Linked DNA regions of Caenorhabditis elegans. The protein of the gene in region 3 purifies or fractionates together with the protein of the main gene of each other region. This does not show direct contact. Each region holds a gene or a part of one and is shown on either strand. Other genes may lie near its edges.

Region 1 (7,533 bases), on a different chromosome or scaffold from region 3:
TGATTAGAATTTTAATCTATAATAGCAGATTTCTTTTTCGGAAGACATGATCCTAGTTTTTTTTTTATAAATCAAATATTTACCCGTCTTCTCGCAACAATTATCCGACACCTCATGAATCGAGTTTTGATGCTGTAAGATCAATACTTTGAAAGGATTGGAGGATTCAAGTTAAATCTGTATGATTATCTCGTTTCGCACATTTTGAACTTCTTCATTGGAAAATCAATACGCTTATACGATTATTCAGTGTAACATTTGTCACTGAACACATTTTTCCGCAAAGCAACGGCAATTTCTGACGGAAAACAACATTGCGAGTCCGCTTGGCAGAGAAAAATACTCCGGTCTTTGTCCGAGAGGACTACGAAGTGGCACGCAACGCTCGGGTCTCGCAGCGACCTGCTGACGCCGCATTTACCGTAGCGTCTGCAGTTCAAATTCGAGACGTTATCCAAAGGGGCGGTTGCACGTTTTTGGCCTTTTTTTTGTCAAATTTCATAATTAAATATTTTTTCCCACGAATTATGACTTTCTAATGTGAAATTTATCTGTTCTTCTATAGGTTATCGTCGAAAAATCAATAGTTTCATGAGGAAATTTTTTTTTAGGCCGGAATCTTTTCTCGAACGAAATCCCAATTCTTACCGATTTGACAATTTATTGTGTCTTTTTCATCCACTAATTTGTATACTTTTCAGGGTATTTTCTAGATAGTCTTAACGGCTACACTTTTTTAATTTCCAAGGCTTTTTTATCCAGCTTTTACCTTTATTTGTTCTTTTTTTTTGGTTCAGTAAAGTAAGGTGGGTGAATTAAAGGTCTCGATGCAGTAAATATAGTTGTGTTTCAGATAGTAGTAAAAATGGAAGCTACAGATAACAAGATTAACGGTAACGCCTCTGAGACTATCAAGGAAAATGGACACTCGACGAAGGGAAACGAGGACAAGAAGATATTCGTTGGTGGAATCTCGCCCGAAGTGAACAACGAAGATTTGAGCTCCCACTTCACCCAATATGGAGAAGTTGCTCAAGCTCAAGTCAAGTACGACCGGACTAACGGCCGCTCCAGAGGGTTCGCATTTGTCGAGTTCACCACTGGAGAGGGCTGTAAATTGGCCCTTGCTGCTCGCGAACAAACCATCAAGGGAAAATCTGTGAGTTCTTGTTTTTTTTCCTCGCCTACTTAAATGGCACTAAAAAGATATAAGTTCAATTGACAATAAACATATTTCTTGTTATAGGTCGAGGTAAAGCCAGCAAAATCGAGGGAAAACAAGAAGGTGTTTGTTGGAGGACTCCCATCGGACTACAGCGAGCAAGATCTTCGCTCTCATTTCGAACAATTCGGCAAGGTCGACGACATTGAATGGCCATTCGATAAGCAGACCAAGGCTCGTCGCAACTTCGCTTTTATCGTATTCGAGGAGGAGGAGTCCGCAGACAAAGCATCTTCCCAGACAAAACAGACCTTCGGAACTCGCGAATGTGACGTGAAAAAAGCAGTTCCACAAGGAAAACGGTTCCCAGGCGCCCAAGGGCGTATGCCAGGTGGTCGCGGAATGTATGGTGGACGTGGTGGAAATAACAACTCGGGATGGTATGCTGGATGGGGACAAATTGGAGCTATGCCATACGGAGCTACTGGAGCAGCTTGGGGAGACTGGTACGGAAACGGTTATTACGGCCAACAAGGTGCAGCACATCACAACAACAGCGGATCATCGCAAGGTTACGGAAGCGGATACCAGAGTTAGTTTTGTTACTATTTGATTCCATGTCTTGTGACTCATTCCACAAGGAATGCATCAGTATACTTATTCTATCAGGTTTTGCAGGAAATAACAGTGGATTCGATTACCAACAAGCTCAAGGAGCCAGACAGGGCAACAATGGCCAACCACGCTTCCAACAGCAGCCACAACAACAAACTGCTCAAGCCCAACAGTTCTAAATGTGCCTTCAGAACATCACCTCAATCACCATCTGAAATGCCTCCATCACAGTCCTCTTCAGAATTCCTGTTTCCTTCCTACCTAATCTTTCAAAAAATGTCCAAATTGTTTTGTCCTCACGCCCAGACTCAATCAAAAGCAGTTACAAATCGACCCTAAATTTCTAACGCGCGTTTTTCTTTAATTCCTTTTTTGGCAATGACGATCTGAGATGTGTTGTTCCCGAGGTTGAATTTTATATCGAACCAGTTTGTTTTGTTTCTCTGATTCTCACCCAAACTATCATCGACTCTCAACTTTTTTCCGTTGGTAATCTTTGATTTGAATAACTCCAGGAATAATAATAACATACTTTTGTTGTTTTAGATGATGTTCTTGTGAACATAATACTTTATCCACCCGCCTTTTTAGATGTGTAGAAGTACTTTATTTCCATCAGTTTTTTCAGTCATTTTTTGTTGTTTTAATTGTTTCGCTCGTTTTTTCTTTGAGCGATTCTGCGGCAGAAAACAAACTGTATTTTTACTTCTCTTCCCTAAAGTCTGTATGCTTCGCCCCCAATTTTTGTCTTTTAGTTGTTGTTATGGTGCTTTTTCCTTTGTTCAGGAACTGGTAACCAATTAGACTGTGCAATTCACTGTAGTTGTCAAGTATATTCACATTGAATTGTGCAGTTAGTTGTTAATTTCCCTCATCTCATTGAAGTGTATCTGATGAATCGTCAGGTGTCCCGTCTTCGTCTAATCTCACAACACCCAGCCACCCAACAAAAGCTTCTCCCTTTTTCTCCTTCGTTTTTTGCCAATCTCACCCGTAAATTCGCTCCCAAAAGCCCCCCCCCAACCGATTCTAATAACTGCCTCTTCGTTTGACATGTTATTTGTTGTCACATTCGTTTTTAATGTATGATAGATTCATGTCAAACATTTGTGTTGATATTAAGCTGAGAATGAAATTTTTGAGGACTAGTTGTTCTTATATTATCATTAAATTTTTATGCTTCATGAATTGAATGCGAACAGGTGGGTTGCCGTGAAAAATATCTCACTTGGGAACAATAAACTTCAATATTTAGAAGTCAATTTTCAGATAAAATATGACTTCAACTCTAGATGCGTACATGAATCGGATGGTGAACGTGGTCACTGGTGATGGTCGGGTTATCGTTGGACTTCTGAAGGTAAAATATCTAGAAAGAAATGTTGCTTCTGCACTTGGCGACAAAGGTTCGAGCCTTTGTCAAGAAATTTCAAAAATGCAGCACATCTTGATTATTATAAAACACGAGATTTTGAATCCCAACTTTGAAGAAATTGTTCAAAAAGACTGAGCTTATGTGTCGGATTAAATAATTAAATTATGTTACCTTTTAAAATTTCAATATTTTATTCAATTATACAATTTTAGGGATTCGATCAATTAATCAACTTGGTGATTGAAGATGCTCACGAAAGGTCGTATTCTGAGACGGAAGGTGTGCTCACGACACCATTGGGACTATATATTATTCGAGGAGAGAATGTGTAAGTTGAAAATTGACGGGACATAATTTAAAAATCGATTTTACCTTGTCACGGTGCTCTGCTTTTGGAATTTATAGGTTTTCTGCGACTAAAATTAGTTGTTGATGAAGAGTTTAGAAATGTCTCTTCTTGAATATCTACTTCATTTATTCCGATGAATTTTACTTCCGAGTTCCCGTACCACCCAATCCGTGGGTCAAACGATCAACAAACCCTCGAAAACATTGGACTCGGCATGCTTTTCCTTCCATTCCGTGCACATTATCGAAAAACTGACCAATTGTTTCAATTGAGTAGTGGCGGAGCCGCCTGCTTCAGCAAAGAAGCTCTTGATCATGTACGAGAGTGTTAAAAACCAAGACAGTTTTTATTGCTCAAAATCCATGGTCTTCTCTTGTTGAGAGGAGATGTTGGACTTTTAATAAAAGACCGGGTACAAATGTTGAACATTTGGAGCATTTTATCTGGATTTTTTTTTCACATCGCCCCATTAAACCTTATAAAAAGCTTCACATCGCCTTGCTTGTTGCAAATTCGCTCTATCGCCATTCTTCAATCTTTTCGAATCTAAAAACTCGTTGGTCATTATGTACTCTCTATTTCACCCGGTCTCTCTCTTCTGTTCTTTCTTTTGGAGTGCTCTACGGACCAATTGCTTCAAATGAATTATCGATTTTTTAAATTGTCGCGTTAGAATAGTTTCTCTGTGTTAAAACAGATCGACCTAATTTCAATTATCATCAAGAGTTTTTTTTTCTATTCGATTCAATCTTTTCCGATGACATTAATCATCCGTTTTTTATAATGTTGCACCCATGCGATGATAAGATTTAATTGTGGTCGTTGACTATCAGTGCTGAGAATGGAATTTTCTCGTTCAATTCACTTCAAAACGGGTCAATGTTATCATCTCAGAAACATCAAATTGATTTTACTTCATTTCTTCCAGTTGAATATTTTCTATAACGTTCCGTCGACATACCTTCGCCAGTCAACATTGAGTCATCATTTAAAAAAAAAAGAAAGGTGCAAGTAGTCCTGGTACCTGATGTTCTATAACAACCAGATCAAGTGCTTCTGTTGTTCCTTTGATCATTCAGCTTTCGGCAGCCGTCTAAAAACATAGCAACTGGTCGTTTCTTGTGCTCTGTTACGGTCGGAAACACGGAAAAGTCGGGGAAGCATGACGTGTCAAAACATCTCTTCCAATCGTTCGGCATTTTCTCGCCCTCAATCACAATTTGATGCTTGACCAATATGATTGCCCGAAGCCTTGCAGCAGCACCAGCAATTTATTTTGTTTGTACTCTTCACATTTTCGCCGGCAACAAAAAAAAACAACGAAAGAGGGAAATAGTTATAGTGAACGAGAGAACGAATACGAAAATGGACAACGCGATGGGAAAAATGTTGAAAAAGTATCCGTTTTCCTATTCTATGTCGGAGCTTCACAACTTGCTTACTAGGTTTTCAGTTTTCAGTTTTACTTTGTCGTTTCTATCTGAAAAGCGCTTATAGTTAAAACATATTCAGTTAAGTTCCAAACGAACTAAAACTTTAAAAAAAAAACTCCTCGTTGAGCGAATGCGATTGATTATTTTATTGAAGTCTCTAAATTGGCTCTTCCAGTCTCTGTTCAATACCTAATTGTTTTCTGATTAGTTTCATTATATTTATTGATTTTTCGTTTCCGATACACCACTCTTCTCTATACTCCACTCCAAATGTCAAGTGATAAATACTCATATTTCGAAATAGTTTATTTTTGGATAGGATACCCCTTCTGGCCCTATTCATGTCCCATTCAAAACACAATTTTATGAAATCTTTTCTCACTTTTCGTCAGTGTAATATAGCTGGAAAAGATTAATGTAGACATGCGTCAAATGTCCGAAACTTTCACAATTTCACACCTTTCAATTCATTCCGTTCGAACTTTGTTCAAAGAAAATGTGATTCCATGAAAAAAGTGTTCGGAACCTGTTCTGTTTCCCTCTGGAGAGGGGTGGAGAAATTATCGGAACACTTTTTCATTGCAAAAGTTGAAACTAAACTTTTAAAGCTATGATGTATATATATATAAAGACCAATTCTGCAACTACTGTAGATTTTTCCAAATGTTTCTTTTTGAAAATCTATCATTTTTCAGAGCGATTATCGGTGAAATCGATGAAGAACTCGACAAACGCGTTGATCTGGAAAATGTGAAAGCGGCCCCACTTGCACCAATTTGGATTCCCCAATAATTTCCACACAAATCGATATTCTGCATTGACGCGTTGTATTGACTGGTTATTCTCATCGTTTCCCCCCACCATTTCTTCTCCCCATTTAAATCATTTTTCCCAAACTATTCTCCATTCTTTTCTTGTTTCCTTGACGGTTTTGTATTCATACCATCGTTTCTTTACCATTTTTGGATCTCTAATTTCCTCTCAAATATTGTGAAAATTTATACATATTTATTTGCTTTGTTTTTAATAGTTAATGTATTAAATATGCATTTATTCAAATTGCAACGTCATTGTATTTTTTCGTGTTTCAACCGTTTGTTTATCGGTTTAACATTTCTTTTTTTAATATCGTTTCCTCGTTGAACTTTGCCATTTCACAGAAATAACCTTGCAGAAAATATTCCAGTGCTCGATTTCAACGGAATATACGGATCGAAGTTGCAAAATGAGCAGTATCAGAGTGAGTTAAATAGAATGGGGAAAGGATAATTTTGAACAAGAGTTTTTGCGCGTTTTTCAACTTTCCTACCAGAATAAAAGCATAAAGTAAAAATCGATAAACATTTTTTCCAGAACCAGAACGACAATCGTCGACCAACATTCCGTGATCATCGTACACCACAATTTAGCGGTCGTGGTGGTAGTGGTGGTGGCGGACGCCGTCTTCAAAATCCAGCTCATTATCCACAACGCAGAGATATGTCGCCGATTCGCAGATCTTCAGCAATTTCACCAGTCAGACGTTCACAGGATCATCGCCAACGTTCGCCTGAAGTTCGACGTCATCGATCACCGGAAAAGGAGTCAAAAGACGCAGTGGTTGGTAGATTCACACTCACACCCAAAATATCTCTATAGTAACCTCTTCTGTAATGGAATTTGTTGGATTATTGACTGAAACTTATCCTCCCCCACCGATTTCTTCGGGGGCTGTATCTTGAAACGCGACGAATCTCATCAATCTAGGTCACATCGACTGGATCTTCACGTGGAGCCACGTCAGCATCTGTCACGTCGTCATCGAGAAGGCATGAGAGTGGGGAGAGACATAGAGAGACTCATCGTAGAGAGGATAAAGAGAAGAAGCCAGAAAAATCTACGGTTTGTAACTAAAGACTAGACTCACTGAGCATTTTTAGATCCGAATTCAGTTATTTTCTACAAAAAAATATAAATAAAAACATTTGCAGGATCGTGATGCTGATCGTTCAAACAACATTGCTGCCAGAATCCAGGCTCCAGTCGTCTCATCGTCGACCCACCACCATCATAGCAACAGGCATGAAAATCGAAAGAGCACAGCAGTGGTAGGTTTATACAGAAATTCGTCAAGCTGAGTCATTGTATTCCCACTGTCACTGTAAACGTCGTCAAATAATAAAATGAGCTCTTCAGATTTATTATGCTCATTGGCTCATGTGTCACCGTGAACATAATGGATTCGAAGTTCTTCTAAACGATTCATTAACCACATGAAAATCATATATATCTATTCATTTCCCAATACTGAAAACTTGGAAATTCTTGAATTGAAAATTCCCATCCCTGTCCAACTTCGTCTTCCTCTTCTGCTTGCACCTACAATTCCGTCTTCAGACACTTTCAACTTTAGGCACTGAAGGAAGTGATAATAGAATAGTTTGCACATCGTAAACAATCGCTTCATATTTTATTTATTCCTTCTTTTCTGCTGCAACTTCAACTGTGTGTATCTCATCGAAATTGCCTTTTTTCGGCATTCTTCAAATTTGAATAGGCGAATGCCCATGCAAACAACGGCATTTATGTGATAGGACGTCGGTGCGAGAATTTTTGATGA
Region 2 (8,918 bases), on a different chromosome or scaffold from region 3:
CTTAGCTCCAAAGAGAACAAACGTTTGATAGAACGCTGAAAGAAAGTATTAATGCCACAAAGTGACCAGGGTAAGAAAACAATAAGATATGAAGCATGGGTAAAGACCATGTGAATAGAATTCAACAACAAGAACAAATTCAACTTGAAACATTGTTTTAATACAAGGTAACAACATGGCTTAAGCCACCAAAACACAAGCTCCTCCGGCCTTCTTGATCTTTTGCTCAGCCTCGTGGGAGAAGAATCTGGCTTTAACGATGAGTGGAGTCTCTGGGAGGAGTCCTTTTCCGAGAACCTGAAAATAAGAACAGTTAAATTTACGTTTCATAGTCATGAAAGATAATTGTCTCGAACCCAGAGGATGACATTTGTCGAAATTCAAGACAAACACCGAAGGAGATCCGAAAGCCGTTAGGCGCTACTTTGTCTCTCGTAACATACACAACCACATTCACCAGTGGAAGCGCCAAGACGAGAGAAATTCTTGTTTGACTTGTTTCAAAACACACCTTGAAGTATCCAAGCTTGGTGCAGTCAATGACTGGGGATTTGCCTCCGGTGGCCTTGTCGCGAACCTCCTGTGGGACAAGAGACCACAAACGCTCGACGTTGACGGTTGGGCAGTAGTGTTGGTTCTTGTTGAGATGGAACACTCTCATTCCAACCTGAAAATTAAAGTTTGAGTGTCAGATAATAAAGAACATATTAGATTTAATTGTCTCGAACCCAGAGGATGACATTTGTCGAGATGCAAGACAAACACCGAAGGAGATCCGAAAGCCAAAAGGCACTACTATCTCTCCTATAACATACACAGCCATATTCACCAATGGAAGCGCCAAGATAGGAGCGGATAATTTCCAACGAACTTTTAAAAAAGTACCTTAAAAATAATACCTTTCCGAAGTATCCAGGATGGTACTTGTCACGGTTGATACGGTGGTGATGTTGACCTCCGGCGTTACCGCGACCTCCAGGATGCTTCCTGTGCTTTCCAATACGTCCGTGTCCGTGCGAGACGTGACCACGGAGCTTTCTTGTCTTTCTCAACGCGTGAGCCATACCCTGTAAAGTAAACAATTTGAATGTGTAAAAGCGGCAAATTTCGATCGAAAATGGAGAAGAAAAATCAGAGAAAAATATTCAATGAAAGGTTCCCGATATTCTCGGATAAAATTACTACAAAAATACAAATTTTGTCTTTAAAGATAATTAAAATCGACCAGATCACACACTTTTTTCATTAAAACCTAGCGAAAAACCATTGAGAACAAAAAGAAATCCTAAAATATTCGCAAAAATTCAGTGAGTGTGTCTCCCAAAATCTGAGGTACGGTCACACTCGTTTGATGCGCATTTCGTGGCGAGACCCTCTCGATGAAATGCAGCCTCCCTTTAAACTCTTTTATTTTTTGCGCAACTTATTTCATCATTTAAATCGATTTTTTAAGCTAAAAAAGCAGAAAAGTTAGTTAAAATTTAATTAAATAATTTTGCAAATAAATAAGTTATTGATATTTTGTACTTTTTGATTCAGGCTCACTGTTATTATCGATTTATTCGTGGAGAAAGTCGAAAAATACTTTGTGTTGCATTATTTATAACATTCCGTAATTATTTTTGAAGTATTTTTTGTTTTCTAATTTTACTCGACTAAACTCACTTTTTCAATTTAGATTTCCTGACACCATTTAATTCATCCATCTAATTTCGTGATAATTAGGATTATTATCAATTTTGCATCATAGCTCGTTCATTTCTCTTTCTATTTCCCATTTTTTGTCCAAGTTATTAACTTCCATTTACCAGAATGGCTGCATCTGCACAGAAGCTTTTGGGTCGCTTGGGAACTGTCGGAGTGGGCCTTTCCATCGCTGGAGGAATCGCACAAACTGCTCTTTACAATGTTGATGGAGGTCAACGAGCAGTCATCTTCGACCGATTCAGTGGAGTGAAAAACGAGGTCGTCGGAGAAGGAACTCATTTCTTAATTCCATGGGTACAAAAACCAATCATTTTTGATATCCGGTCAACGCCGAGAGCCGTCACCACCATCACTGGAAGTAAAGACTTGCAAAACGTCAACATTACTCTCCGTATCCTTCACAGACCAAGCCCCGATCGTCTTCCAAACATCTACCTGAACATTGGTTTGGACTACGCAGAAAGAGTCCTTCCTTCCATTACAAATGAAGTTTTGAAGGCTGTTGTGGTGAGAAAAAATTTTAATTTAAATATTGCGAACTGATTTTGATTTAAAATTTGTTAAAATTAATTCCAGGCGCAATTCGATGCTCATGAGATGATCACCCAGCGTGAGGTTGTCTCCCAACGGGCGTCCGTGGCTCTTCGTGAACGTGCTGCACAGTTCGGACTTCTCCTTGATGATATTGCAATTGTAAGTTCACCAGATTTATGAAGTTTAAGCTATTTCCATGATTTTTCAGACCCACTTGAACTTTGGACGTGAATTCACTGAAGCCGTCGAAATGAAGCAAGTCGCACAGCAAGAAGCCGAAAAAGCGAGATACCTTGTCGAGAAGGCTGAACAAATGAAGATCGCCGCCGTTACCACCGCCGAAGGAGATGCTCAAGCCGCAAAGCTTCTTGCCAAGGCCTTTGCCTCTGCCGGAGACGGACTTGTCGAGCTCAGAAAGATTGAGGCCGCCGAAGAGATCGCCGAGCGTATGGCCAAGAACAAGAATGTCACCTATCTTCCAGGAAACCAACAAACCCTTCTCAACCTTCAATCCTAAATATCTCCGGTTACGTGTTTTAGACGAATTCCACTCATTTTCCCCTTTTCAAAGAGCCTTTTTCACTCTGTTGAACTTTCGAGAATAATCATGCCCGAATTCTCAATTAAATACTTTTTAAATTTCGTTTTTTTTGTTCTGTTTAGAGTAGGTCATTTCCTTCATTCATTTTGTGTAGGTATCGTAGCTTTTTCATTTTTTTTGCTTGTTTTTGTTGGAAATTTTCGTCTAATGAATAATTTGTTCGCGATATAATGAATTTGAAATTGGGAATTTATTAATTTTCAATGGTTGATTTCCCAAAATCATTATTTATAATTTTCTTATTTCTTTTCAATTTTCTTTTTTTTTAATGCTAAACTTTTCTTCTTCTCATTTCAGATGGCGTTAATGAAATGCCGTTTCTACGAGAATCAATTCCCCGATGTCGAGGAGACCGTTGTCGCCAATGTTAAAATGATTGCCGATATGGGTGCCTACGTCCGGCTTTCCGAGTACAATGATAAAGGTTTTTAAAATCATCATTTTAAAACAAAAATCGAATTAAAAGAGGACTAACGGTTCGGACGATTTTGAACGTATAGACCCAAAATGAGCTCAAATGAACGAATTTCGTAATGAAACTGCTCAAAAATGTTTCAAAAAATTTTTATGGCGGTTCAAAATTTTGAAAAATTACAATGATTTTAGCTAAAATCACGAATTTTCCCCTTTTTTCCGTGTCAAATCCTTCCTAAGTTAGCTTTTTTGGAATTATCGTCTTTTATTACATATATTGGTAGTTTATCTCATTTAATTTCGTTGATTTTTGGTTACCTATCGGCTTTAAATATACTTTAATCGGTAAAATTAAATGAGATAAACTACCAATATATGTAATAAAAGACGATGATTCCAAAAAAGCTAACTTAGGAAGGATTTGGCACGGAAAAAAGGGAAAAATTCGTGATTTTAGCTAAAATCAGTGCAATTTTTCAAAATTTTGAACCGCCATAAAAAAATTTTTGAAACATTTTTGAGCAGTTTCATTACGAAATTCGTTCGTTTGAGCTCATTTTGAGTCTATACGTTCAAAATCGTCCGAACCGTTCGTCCTCCTTTAAATTAAATCATTTTTCAGAGGGTATGATCCTGCTCTCCGAGCTCTCCCGTCGTCGTATCCGTTCAGTGAACAAGCTAATCCGTGTCGGCCGAAGTGAAAGCGTCGTCGTGATCCGTGTCGACAAGGACAAAGGTTACATTGATCTGTCGAAGCGTCGTGTCTACCAGAAAGACTTGAAACAGTGCGACGAGCGATTCGCGAACGCCAAAATGGTGAACAGCATTTTGAGACACGTGGCCGAGCAAGTCGGATACACTACCGACGAAGAGTTGGAGGATTTGTACCAAAAGACCGCGTGGCACTTTGATCGCAAAGAGAAACGGAAAGCAGCTTCATATGACGCATTCAAGAAGGCGATCACCGAACCGACGATCTTGGATGAGTGTGATATTAGTGCAGATATTAAGGAGAAACTCTTGGAGGACATTAGGAAGAAGCTCACCCCTCAGGCGGTTAAAATTCGCGCTGATATTGAAGTCTCCTGCTTCGATTATGATGGTATTGATGCTGTGAAGGCTGCACTTATTGCTGGAAAGAACTGCTCAAATGGAACCTTCCCGATTAAGGTTTCATTTTATAGATTTTACACATGGGCGCGCTTTTTTCTCGCTTTTTGCGTTTTTTGTTTAAAATTTCACGATGTCGCTCGATTTTGTCCGTTTTTTCGAAGAAAAAAACCAAGTTTTCATAGTACAGTTTTTACCCGAAAAATTCTCCGGTTAATTTCTTTTAATATTGTGAATTATTGTCATTTTTCAATGTCTTCTTTTATAACTTGTTGTATATTTATATGAAGAGAAAGCGAGTTTTATAATATTTTTCAGAAAGAGAGTTTTCAGCTATTTTTTAAACACAGTTTTTACCCGAAAAAATGCTTTTTTGTCTCTCTTTCTGAAAATACGATAAAACTCGCTTTCTCTTCATTTAAATATACAAATTATCAAGAAGGACATTTTAAAAATGACAATAATTCACAATATTAAGATAAATTAACAGGGGAATTTCAAATAATGTGCAAGATTTGGGTGATTTTTTTTCGGTTAAAAAATGTGAAAACTTGGTTATTTTTCATTTAAAAAATAGCTGAACACTTCTTTATTCGAAAAAAAAACGGCCAAAATCGATCGAAATCATGAAATTTTGGACAAAAAAAACGAAAAAAAAGGAAAATTACCGCACCCAAAAAGCGAGAAAAAAGCGCGCCGCAGGGTTGCGGCCGGAATCCCCGCCTCCAATAAACCACGCCCATGTGCGCAGTGCGAAATTGTTTTTTTTTAAATATTTAAAAAATAATTGTCTAATTCAGATCAATCTCATCGCCGCTCCCCACTTCGTCGTCACCACACAAACATTGGACAGAGAAGGTGGAATTGAGGCCGTCAACAGCATTCTGGATACTATCAAAAATGCGATTGAAGGATTCAAGGGAAAATTCACGATCAAGGAGGAGGCGAGAATTGTGACGGATATTGATGATGAGAAGAAGAAGGGTGATGGAGATGAGGATGAGGAGGAATCAGAGGAAGACGAGGACGAGGAAGAGGATGAGGATGATGTGAGTTTTGGAGTTTTTAAGACGATTTCAAGCATTTTTTCGTGATGATTTTATAATACATGAATTGGCAAGTAGAGCTTACACGTGATACTAATAATTGATAAATACATCAATTTCTGTTTTTACTGTACTGGCACAATAGCTCTCGTAAATCGACACAAAAGTAATTAAGTCACTCCGCGGAAAAAAGAAATTTGAATAACTCGATTCTTGTTTTGAATGTGGTTAACGGTTTTTTTTTAAAATCAAATTCAAAATCAGAATCATCCAAATTCCATTTTTCCGCGGAGTGATTTAATTACTTTTGTGTCGATTTACGAGAGCTATTGTGCCGGAATTTCAGTGCAGTAAAAACAGAAATTGATGTTTTATCAATGATTCGCATCACGTGTAAGCTCTACTTGCCAATTCGTGTAAAATTATCACGAAAAACTTTTTAGACCAAAAATGGCCAAAAACTACCAAATTTCGTAATGAGACGCTCTGAAAATCTCTCAAAAAAAAGTTATGGCCGCTCAAAGTTTTGGAAAAATGTTATATTTTTAGCTAAAATCTCAAATTTTGGCAACTTCTCGATGTCGCAGCGGTTGGAACTTAATTTTTATTTGATTGTCGTTTTTTAATGCATGTTTTGGCATTTTATCTCGTGTTGTTTCGTTAATTGAGATGCTTTTTCGGTCGATGCGGGCTCAAACTTTTATCGTATTTGTGCCCGCATCGACCATAAAGAATCTCAGTCAACGAAAAAACACGAAATAAAATGCCAAAACATGCATTAAAAAACGACAATCAAATAAAAATTAAGTTCCAACCGCTGCGACATCGAGAAGTTGCCAAAATTTGAGATTTTAGCTGAAAATATAACATGTTTCCAAAACTTTGAGCGGCCATAACTTTTTTTTGAAAAATTTTCAGAACGTCTCATTACGGAATTTGGTAGTTTTGGATCATTTTGGGTCTAAAAAACAAAGCCTCAAATTTCGGTACTCCACCTTGAAAGCTAGAAAAACGAAAAAAAATTTTTCTTTCAGGATGGACTCATGGCTCCAAAGGGTTTGGATCAACAAGTCGACGCGGAAGAAGCCAGCAGAGATAACCGAAAGAAGGCCGGCGACGATGAAGACAGTGATGAGGAGGATGATTAATTATTTGAAAATTGAAAATTGAAAATTCCCATTGTTTTTTTTTTGCTTTTATTGGTGTAATTGGCTCCGATTCTTTCTGGACTATTATTATAGTATTATTCAATTTTGGCACTATCATTTCTCTTCATCTGTTCTGTTGTTTTGTTCCTTTCCCCCTTTAAATGTGGAGTACCGATATTTTAGACTTTGCTTTTTTAGACCTAAAATGACCCAAAACTACCGAATTTTGTAATGAGACGTTCTGAAAATTTTTTACAAAAAAAAGTTATGGCGGTTCAAAGTTTCGGAAAAAATACCCCTTTTCAGCTAAAATCGAAATTTTGCCAACTTCTCGGTGTCTCAGTGTTTCGAACTTAATTTTTATTTAATTATCACTTTTTAAACAATATTTTGGTCTTTTATTAGACGTTGATTAGTTGATTTTTCGATCATTGGGGCACAAAAATGTAACTTTTATTTGTCCCCCACTGGTCGAAAATGTGCTTACATTAACGAATAAATGTCTAATAAAAGACCAAAATATTGTTTAAAAAGTGATAATTAAATAAAACTTAAGTTCCAGACTCTACGACACCGAGAAGTTGGCAAAAATTTCGATTTTAGCTGAAAATGGGCTATTTTTCCCAGAACTTTGAACCGCCATAACCTTTTTTTGAGAAATTTTCAAAACGCCTCATTAGGTAGTTTTCGGTAGTATTTTGGGTCTAAAAATGCAAAATCTCAGGTTTCGATACTCCACCTTTGACCTTCTATTTATTGTCTCCCATCCCCCGTTTTTTTTCCATTTTTGTGGGCTCCCAATTCGTTATGAACAGTGAGCTGGTTTTTCATCGCAGGCTTCTTTTTCCAGCAGTTACGAAGCAGACGTTCTGTGTTCAATACTTGACCATTCTCCCCCCGCCAGAAATGATCGATAAGAGGTGGTCCTCGGAGACCCGCGCGCGTGCGCATAGGTCACCTGATCACGTGGTGAAGGGCAACTGCCATTGTTTCAACGCCGGAATATTTTTTGAACCTTTATTGATTATCTCAAGTTTCTTATCAAATTTTCGAAAATTTGCCTTTCTTTTGTGTAAGGGGAAAATGGAAAAATTACGATTTTTGTTTCCATCGGAAACAAACAAAATGTGTTTTGTGGTGTGACCAAACGTCATTTTGTGTTGTTTTCTTGAAGTTTCTAGACGCGAAAAATAGAAAAATAATTAAAACTTTCTATAAAATTACCAACTTTCAGATTTCGGAAGGATTTTATTAAAAAAATTGGCAACATTTTTGATTTTCAATGAAATTTTTTTAAGGTGGAGTGCGCCCAGTGGGAAAATTGCTTCACAATGGCCGAATATCATGATTAAAAAATTCAAAAAAAATTTCTAAATTTTATATGATTTTTTGAAAATTGAAAAATCTCAGTTTTCCCCTAATTTCTATTTGAATTACCGCCAATTGGGTTCGTTCGATGGAGCGCGCTTGCACTATTTATTTTATTTTTCTCATTATTTCACTGATTTTCTTCATTATTTGTGTATTTTTATCGGAAAAAGAGAGAAAAATGCAAGGTAAATGCTTATAAGATTTATTAAAAAGTAACTGAAAATGAGTAAAACTGTGGAATATGCTATTTTCAGGATTTTTGGCGTCGAAACACAGTTTTACCCATTTTCAGTAATTTTTTAATGACCAATTTGCATTTTTCTCTATTTTTCCGATTAAAAACCCCCAAAAAACGAATAAAATCAGTGAAATAATGAGAAAAATAAAATAAATAAATAAAAATAATGCAAGTGCGCTCCATCGAACAATTTCAATTGGCGGTAATTCAAATAGGAATTAGGCAAAAACTGAGATTTTTCAATTTTCAAAAAAAAATCATATAAAATCTAGAAAATTTTTTGAATTTTTTTATCGTGATATTCGGTCATTGTGACCCTATGGGCATGTTTTAAAGCAATTTCCCCACTAGGCTTACTGAGTAGAAAAATCCCGGAAGTGCAATTTTTGAATTTTTTGTGAGAAACTCCTCCACAATTCGTCATTGAAAATGAAAAAACTCGACTAAATATTTTTTCCATGACAGGCGGTCTGCTCCGGGTTCGACGTCCTTTTCGAACTGATAACGTCACAATTTTTTTCTTTTTTTTTCCGCATTTTTTCATTCCGATTGCTATTTAATCGGGTGATGTCGGGGTCACTCTTCAATGTCCGTTGACTACATTGTTTTAATTTATTTTTAATTGACTCCAAATTTTCCCCTGATTTCGAATATCTATGTGAAAAAATTCAAAAAAATTTCCCTGATTTTATATTTAAGCTTGAAATCGCTTGTACTAGCATCACTTTTTTTCAAATTCGCGCCCAAAG
Region 3 (5,663 bases):
TATTCAGGCTGAAAATGTTTCGATTTTGTGCCAAAAATACGGTGCCCGGTCTCGCAACGACAATTTTCTGTTAAATGCGAGAAGGTGTGCGCCTTTGAAGTATACTGTAATTACAAACTCTCTTTGCTGAGGATCTTTTTCGCTTTTCATGATTTGTCTCTCGATATCTTGAAATCGTTGATTCTTATTGTTATATTTGAATTTTAAATTTGTATTCTTATCGAAAAAGTCTGAAAAAATTAAATTCTGCAAAAAGAAAGGTTAAAAATTACAGTACTCTTTAAAGACGCGTGCCTGTTTTCATTTTAAAAAAAGTTGTCGTGTCGAGACCGGGCACCGTATTTTTTTGCCCAAAAACCGCCAAATTTCGCGTTAGCGTAATAAGTTTTTGTTCGAAATGAAGCTTTTCTAAAATTACAAAGAAATGAAGAGATTTTTATGCACAACAAACCGAAAAAGTCTGCAACACAATTTCCAATAATATCAGGTGAAGTCATGATTTTTGAGAGGAGTAAATACGAAATTAAGTGTCAAATGTTGTTTCAGATGAAGACAAGTTACTTTTCCAATGAAAACTACTAAATATCTTGTCATCTCATCAATTTCAGATGACTCCGCCCACTTTTCTCATGTTTCTATTTTTAGAAAACTTTAAGATTGATTCAGATTTCCTTGAAAACAAAAGCGACGTGGTAAATTGTGTGAAAAAAGAAAAATTGGTTAATAGTAAAGAGAAAATTGGGGGCAAAACGAGAGAGGTGAGAGAGAGACCCGACTGCCATCTTCCGAGTGTCCTTGCGAAACGGAGACTGTCCTGTCTCTGCGTCTCGTTGTAAAAGGAGCAAACAATTTGTATATTGTATTTTTACAATGTCTCCATTCTGTGACTCAGTTTTTGTGCTCCTAGGAGATGACGAGTTTTTGTTTGAGTAAACAAGTGAACAGTCTGATAAGGTTGAGAAGACATGTATTAGGACCAAATGAAATTATGAAAAAAAAAACATAATACAGATTTTTGACGGTGGAGTAATTGTATAATTGTACAGAGCTTGTAATGAGTTAGAGAATCAAGGGATGGAAATGAATTAGAAAGTGAAAATAAATATGACAAACAGAGACGGGGAAAATTAATAATAATATGTTATAAATAGGTAATCGAATACGAGATAAAATTACTCCCATCCTTCAGTGTGCCACTTTTTAAACTTGCTCCATTCGGTAGCAATCTTTTTCTTCTGTTCACAATCGATTTTTCTCATCTTTTTCTTCGATTTGCGTTCAACTGGAGCATTCTTGAGAGTGGTCTCGCCTGAAAAATAAAATAATAATAAGAATTTCAAACGGTATTTATGAATTTTCAATAGGACAAAGTTGTCATGTTTTTTTCTAAAGAAAATTGTTCATTTTAAATTGATTTTAATATAAATAAAAATTTTAATACCGTTTTTCTGAAGATCCTGAAGTACTTCGATCCGTTCCACTACATTATCGATACGTTCAATGGATGCTCGTAGGCTACGATACTCGTCTCTAGTCAGGAATTGTTGAGTCATTGCCAATAGCTTCTCCTTTTCAGTACGTGAATCCATTATCTCCTGCTGGCTCACTGGACGTTTGGCTGCTGCGTAGCATGCTTCTTGGTAGAATTTCATGAATTCATTTATCTTGTCATGTTCAAGCACAGTATTTCGTTTAGCCTTCCGAATTCCGAGTAGACGAACGTAATGTCTCAAACGGGCGAACTTAATATCATTTTCCATATCGAGTCTCTGATCTTTCTGAGGTTCCGTAGCAGATATTGTGAGGCGACTGATAAGTTGTTCAGCTTCATTGAACCATTCACACTCCAATTCTTCACGTTCGTTATTGTATCCAAGAATTTTCAACTCATCACTTCTTCTCATTTTTGGACGAGTTTCCGACTTTGATACACCACTTTCATGAAGTAGACGAGGATATGCACTTCTGAGCTCTTTAACTTCTTCTAAAGAACAAATTGCGCCGAGAGTTTCTAACTTTTTTTCTCCTTGTTTCTGCTCACGGTTCATCTTTTTACGGAATTCATGCAATCTTCTATCTTTTTTCGAAACCCACATCCTCCTTCGCTTTCGTCTCTTTGAGCTCGAAGCTGTTCCTCTCTTTGGTTTTTTCTCTTCTTCTTCATCTTCTGTATCAAATTCCTGTGCAGTCTCAAAAGCGCTTGGAGGATCTTCTTCTTCTGTTTCGCGTTCCATGCCGTGGTAGGTGTCTTTATCAGAAGCTTGACTTTTCTGGAAAAAATACACATAAAACTGAATTTAGTTATTTTCCTTAAACTCACATCATCGTCCGAATCACTGCTTGATTCTCTCATAACTCGAGTAGTTTTTCTTCTCTTTGGACTCGGAGGCCCCTTTTTCCGACAACTGGAAGACGGGCCCGGCGAATTGTCATTATCACTATCATCAGTATTTATTTCCTGTTTTACTGATCGCTTCGATTTCATATCTCTTTCATTATCAGGATCACAGTCATCTGGGCTAAGCTCCGTCTCATATTGATTTGTAAGGAATTTTGGGCGCTCATACTTGGTTTCAATGTCACCATCGATTACTCTGAAGAAATTCTAAATATATGAAAAATAGGACATTTTCACTTACTTTTGCACATACTGCTCTAATACTTGTTGCACTTTTATCGCAAGTTTCGGATCGTTTTCATCCCAGCTTTCTCCAGATGCACGAACGGCGTCTCGAATCAGAAGCATTCTTTCCGTTGATTCCAAACAGTTTTTTTGTAGCACACTGTCTAATGTTTGATTTATATACATCCCATATTTAATTCGATCCCAACTTGAACTTTTTATGGAAAATTGTCCAATCCATCCACGCACGAAATGTTTTTCAAAGTAATCCTTGCAATTATGACCATCTTTTCTTCCGCGACCAATACTTTCAGCTATTTCTCCCCAATTTCCCATCTTGAATTTATGAGCAGCTTTTAACAATTCGAATTCATCTTCGTGTGTCCAGCTCATTGCTTCGGGATTACTTGTTGGCTTGACAAGCTCGTAATTGTGACCTCGGCGATGTGGTGGTGATTCCGCGCCGCATTGGAAACACTGAAATTTTAAAAATAAAATAATGTTCTTAAAAACTTCACAATCTGTCAACTCACGAGGATACAAATTCGCAGAGGACATTCAAAGCATTTGACATGAATGGTTTGGTCGACTCGTAATGTGCAGTTGAAGCATACCGGATGTTCTCCGGTATCATCAGCCATTGAACCTATAAATATTAAAATTCCTCAAATCATGTTTTAAAATAAAACTAATAATCTTGAGATGAAAACAAAGAAAAATCGATTGCAGAGGTGAACCCTGTTTTCAAATGATCATCCACCAACGACCCTCCGAAATGACGCATGGTCGCCTTGTTTAACGTAAATATTGTGTGCATTAAAATCTTTTTTTATCGGAATTTTTTGTTTCGAATTGTCTTTTCGCCGTAATTTCAGTTTAAAATCTTAATTTATTCTTTGCAGATTGTCTCACTTTAAGTTTTACTAGTGAAAAACAATCACAACCCCACTAAATCAATATAGTCATGGTGGTAAGTCGAATTAAGCTGAACTCAAATAGTGTATGATTTCAGTTGCCACTTTCTCTTCTCAAAACCGCTCAAAACCACCCGATGCTTGTGGAGTTGAAGAACGGCGAGACTTATAACGGTCACCTGAAAGCCTGCGATTCGTGGATGAATATTCATTTGGTGGATGTTATTTTCACATCAAAAGTAAGTGTTTCGTTTAATTAAATGGTTAGCCCAGGAGAAACTGGCTATTCAGAAATTTCTTTTCGTTATTATTGAAAAAAAACATAATTTTGTTTTAAACGGCTCACAGATTCTAATTTAGAAAGAACCTTTCATATTTAATTTGCATTCATATGTCAGCTCAATATTTCAAACATCTAAAACTCTCGGATTGATGCAAATTTGCGACTAACAATACATGTTAAATTACAGGACGGTGACAAGTTCTTCAAAATGTCAGAAGCGTATGTCCGGGGATCTACTATCAAGTATCTCAGAATTCCAGAAACAGTAAGTACCTGATTTTCTCTTCGACAACATAACATTTCCCATTCTTCCAGGTGGTCGATCTCGTGAAAACTGAAGTCAACGAAGTTCGTCGTCAACAGCAGCGCGAGCAATCCCGTGGTCGTGGTGGTGGACGAGGAGGACGTGGAGGACACCGCGGAGGTGGTGGAAACCGAGGCGGACGCGGAGGAGCTCGATAATTCCTGCAGTGCTTCGATTGCTGATAACAATTTCTCGTTTACTCTAAATAATTTATGTATTTGAAATTATTTTTTTACCCAAAAACCAAACCTTCCTCCGTCTCTTCTGATCTTCCCCAAGTCGGGTTGTTTCACATGTTTTGAAATTTTATTACAATAAATTGAATTATACTTCAACAATATCTTAAGATCTTTCATCTGTCCTCCCACTCTTTTACTAGACTACAATGTAGTCTAGTATGGGACGTTGTCCTTATCAACCGCCCGCTGCAGTCATTGATTGTAGTCCACAATGTGACTAACGGCAATTTCATAGTTGCCATTTCTTTTATTTTTTCTTGAATTTAATCCATTTTTCAAAATCGAATAACGACATTCCATTTATTATTACAGATAAATTATAATGTCCGCACCTCCAACAAATCAACCACCTCCGCTGCCGCCAAGGTCATTTGATGTAATTATTGATAAATTGTTTTGAAACTCCTACTAATCGATAATATTTAAGAATCAAATGTCGAATCCAATGATCAATACAGGTTTTGGTTATGGTGGAGGATATGGAATGAATACGTTTCCAGGGTCTGGAATGTAAGTTTTATTTTTTAAATATTTTTTTTTTTTTTGAATGCTCTTTCGTAAATGCTAAAATGTCTGCGCCTTTAAAGAGTACTGTAGTTTCAAACTTTCGTCGCTGCCTTATTTTCATGGATTTTTCGTAGTTTTTCCGATAAATTAATTTTAAATTCAAGTATACTAATAAAAAAGAGAGAAGAAGCATGAAAAAACGATGAAAGTCCCTCAGCAACGAGAGTTTGCTGTTACAGTACTATTTAAAGGCGCACACCTTTTCATATTTAAGAAAAATGTGTCGTTTCGAGACCGGGTACCGTATCCTTGACGCAAAATCGTAAAATATCATGTCTGGGTAATTTACCGAATAAAGTCAGTACCGAAATGATAGAGAATGGGTTACTGTATAACTCAAAGGGGCCTACGTTTCGCGCAGCCTCGATTTGAAAATATTTTGTATTAATAAAATTGTATATTGTTTAGGTATGGTGGTGGGGGAATGTATGGAGGAGGAATGGGTTACGGTGGATTTGGTGGTGGCTTCAACCATATGGGATATGGTCAAGGACCTGACAGCAATTTTGCTCGACTTGCAGAAGAACAGTCTCGAGGCGCTTTTCAATCAATCGAATCAGTTGTAAATGCAGTCTCATCTGTCGCCAACATGCTCAATTCAACTCATAATGCAGTTTATAGTTCTTTTCGAGCAGTTATTGGAGTTGTAGAGCAATTTGGAAGATTAAAGACGCAGGTGAGTTTTTTATTGAAAAAAACAAATCTGATAATAATTATTCTATTGTTCCAGTTG

The links.
Region 1: the proteins of lsm-4 (region 3) and lsm-8 fractionate together in Caenorhabditis elegans (co-fractionation; one large-scale study listed by BioGRID). This does not show direct contact.
Region 2: the proteins of lsm-4 (region 3) and eif-2alpha fractionate together in Caenorhabditis elegans (co-fractionation; one large-scale study listed by BioGRID). This does not show direct contact.

What each region holds. Positions count from the first base shown.
Region 1 is NC_003282.8:6,323,480-6,331,012, forward strand, and holds lsm-8 (U6 snRNA-associated Sm-like protein LSm8), read left to right. Parts: upstream 1-3,046; 5' UTR 3,047-3,053; coding exon 3,054-3,137; intron 3,138-3,364; coding exon 3,365-3,480; intron 3,481-5,629; coding exon 5,630-5,726; 3' UTR 5,727-6,000; downstream 6,001-7,533. Other genes in the region: Y73B6BL.29 (tRNA pseudouridine synthase), read left to right, coding at 1-7; sqd-1 (RRM domain-containing protein), read left to right, coding at 866-1,159, 1,247-1,754, 1,832-1,956; Protein seu-1, read left to right, coding at 6,160-6,174, 6,288-6,533, 6,681-6,815, 6,905-7,021.
Region 2 is NC_003279.8:2,069,541-2,078,458, forward strand, and holds eif-2alpha (Eukaryotic translation initiation factor 2 subunit 1), read left to right. Parts: upstream 1-3,139; 5' UTR 3,140-3,148; coding exon 3,149-3,266; intron 3,267-3,878; coding exon 3,879-4,426; intron 4,427-5,165; exon of another isoform or gene 5,166-5,166; coding exon 5,167-5,415; intron 5,416-6,446; coding exon 6,447-6,560; 3' UTR 6,561-7,385; downstream 7,386-8,918. Other genes in the region: rpl-27A (Large ribosomal subunit protein uL15), read right to left, coding at 181-297, 512-667, 900-1,064; phb-1 (Mitochondrial prohibitin complex protein 1), read left to right, coding at 1,813-2,214, 2,284-2,400, 2,450-2,758.
Region 3 is NC_003280.10:7,251,026-7,256,688, reverse strand, and holds lsm-4 (putative U6 snRNA-associated Sm-like protein LSm4), read left to right. Parts: upstream 1-3,525; 5' UTR 3,526-3,587; coding exon 3,588-3,593; intron 3,594-3,635; coding exon 3,636-3,776; intron 3,777-4,007; coding exon 4,008-4,085; intron 4,086-4,093; coding exon of another isoform or gene 4,094-4,127; exon of another isoform or gene 4,128-4,135; coding exon 4,136-4,282; 3' UTR 4,283-4,457; downstream 4,458-5,663. Other genes in the region: ada-2 (SANT domain-containing protein), read right to left, coding at 1,173-1,309, 1,442-1,984, 2,042-2,270, 2,321-2,594, 2,640-3,100, 3,157-3,269, 4,094-4,127; prx-13 (Peroxisomal membrane protein PEX13), read left to right, coding at 4,686-4,739, 4,791-4,873, 5,339-5,606, 5,661-5,663. UniProt on the Caenorhabditis elegans protein: Plays a role in pre-mRNA splicing as component of the U4/U6-U5 tri-snRNP complex that is involved in spliceosome assembly, and as component of the precatalytic spliceosome (spliceosome B complex).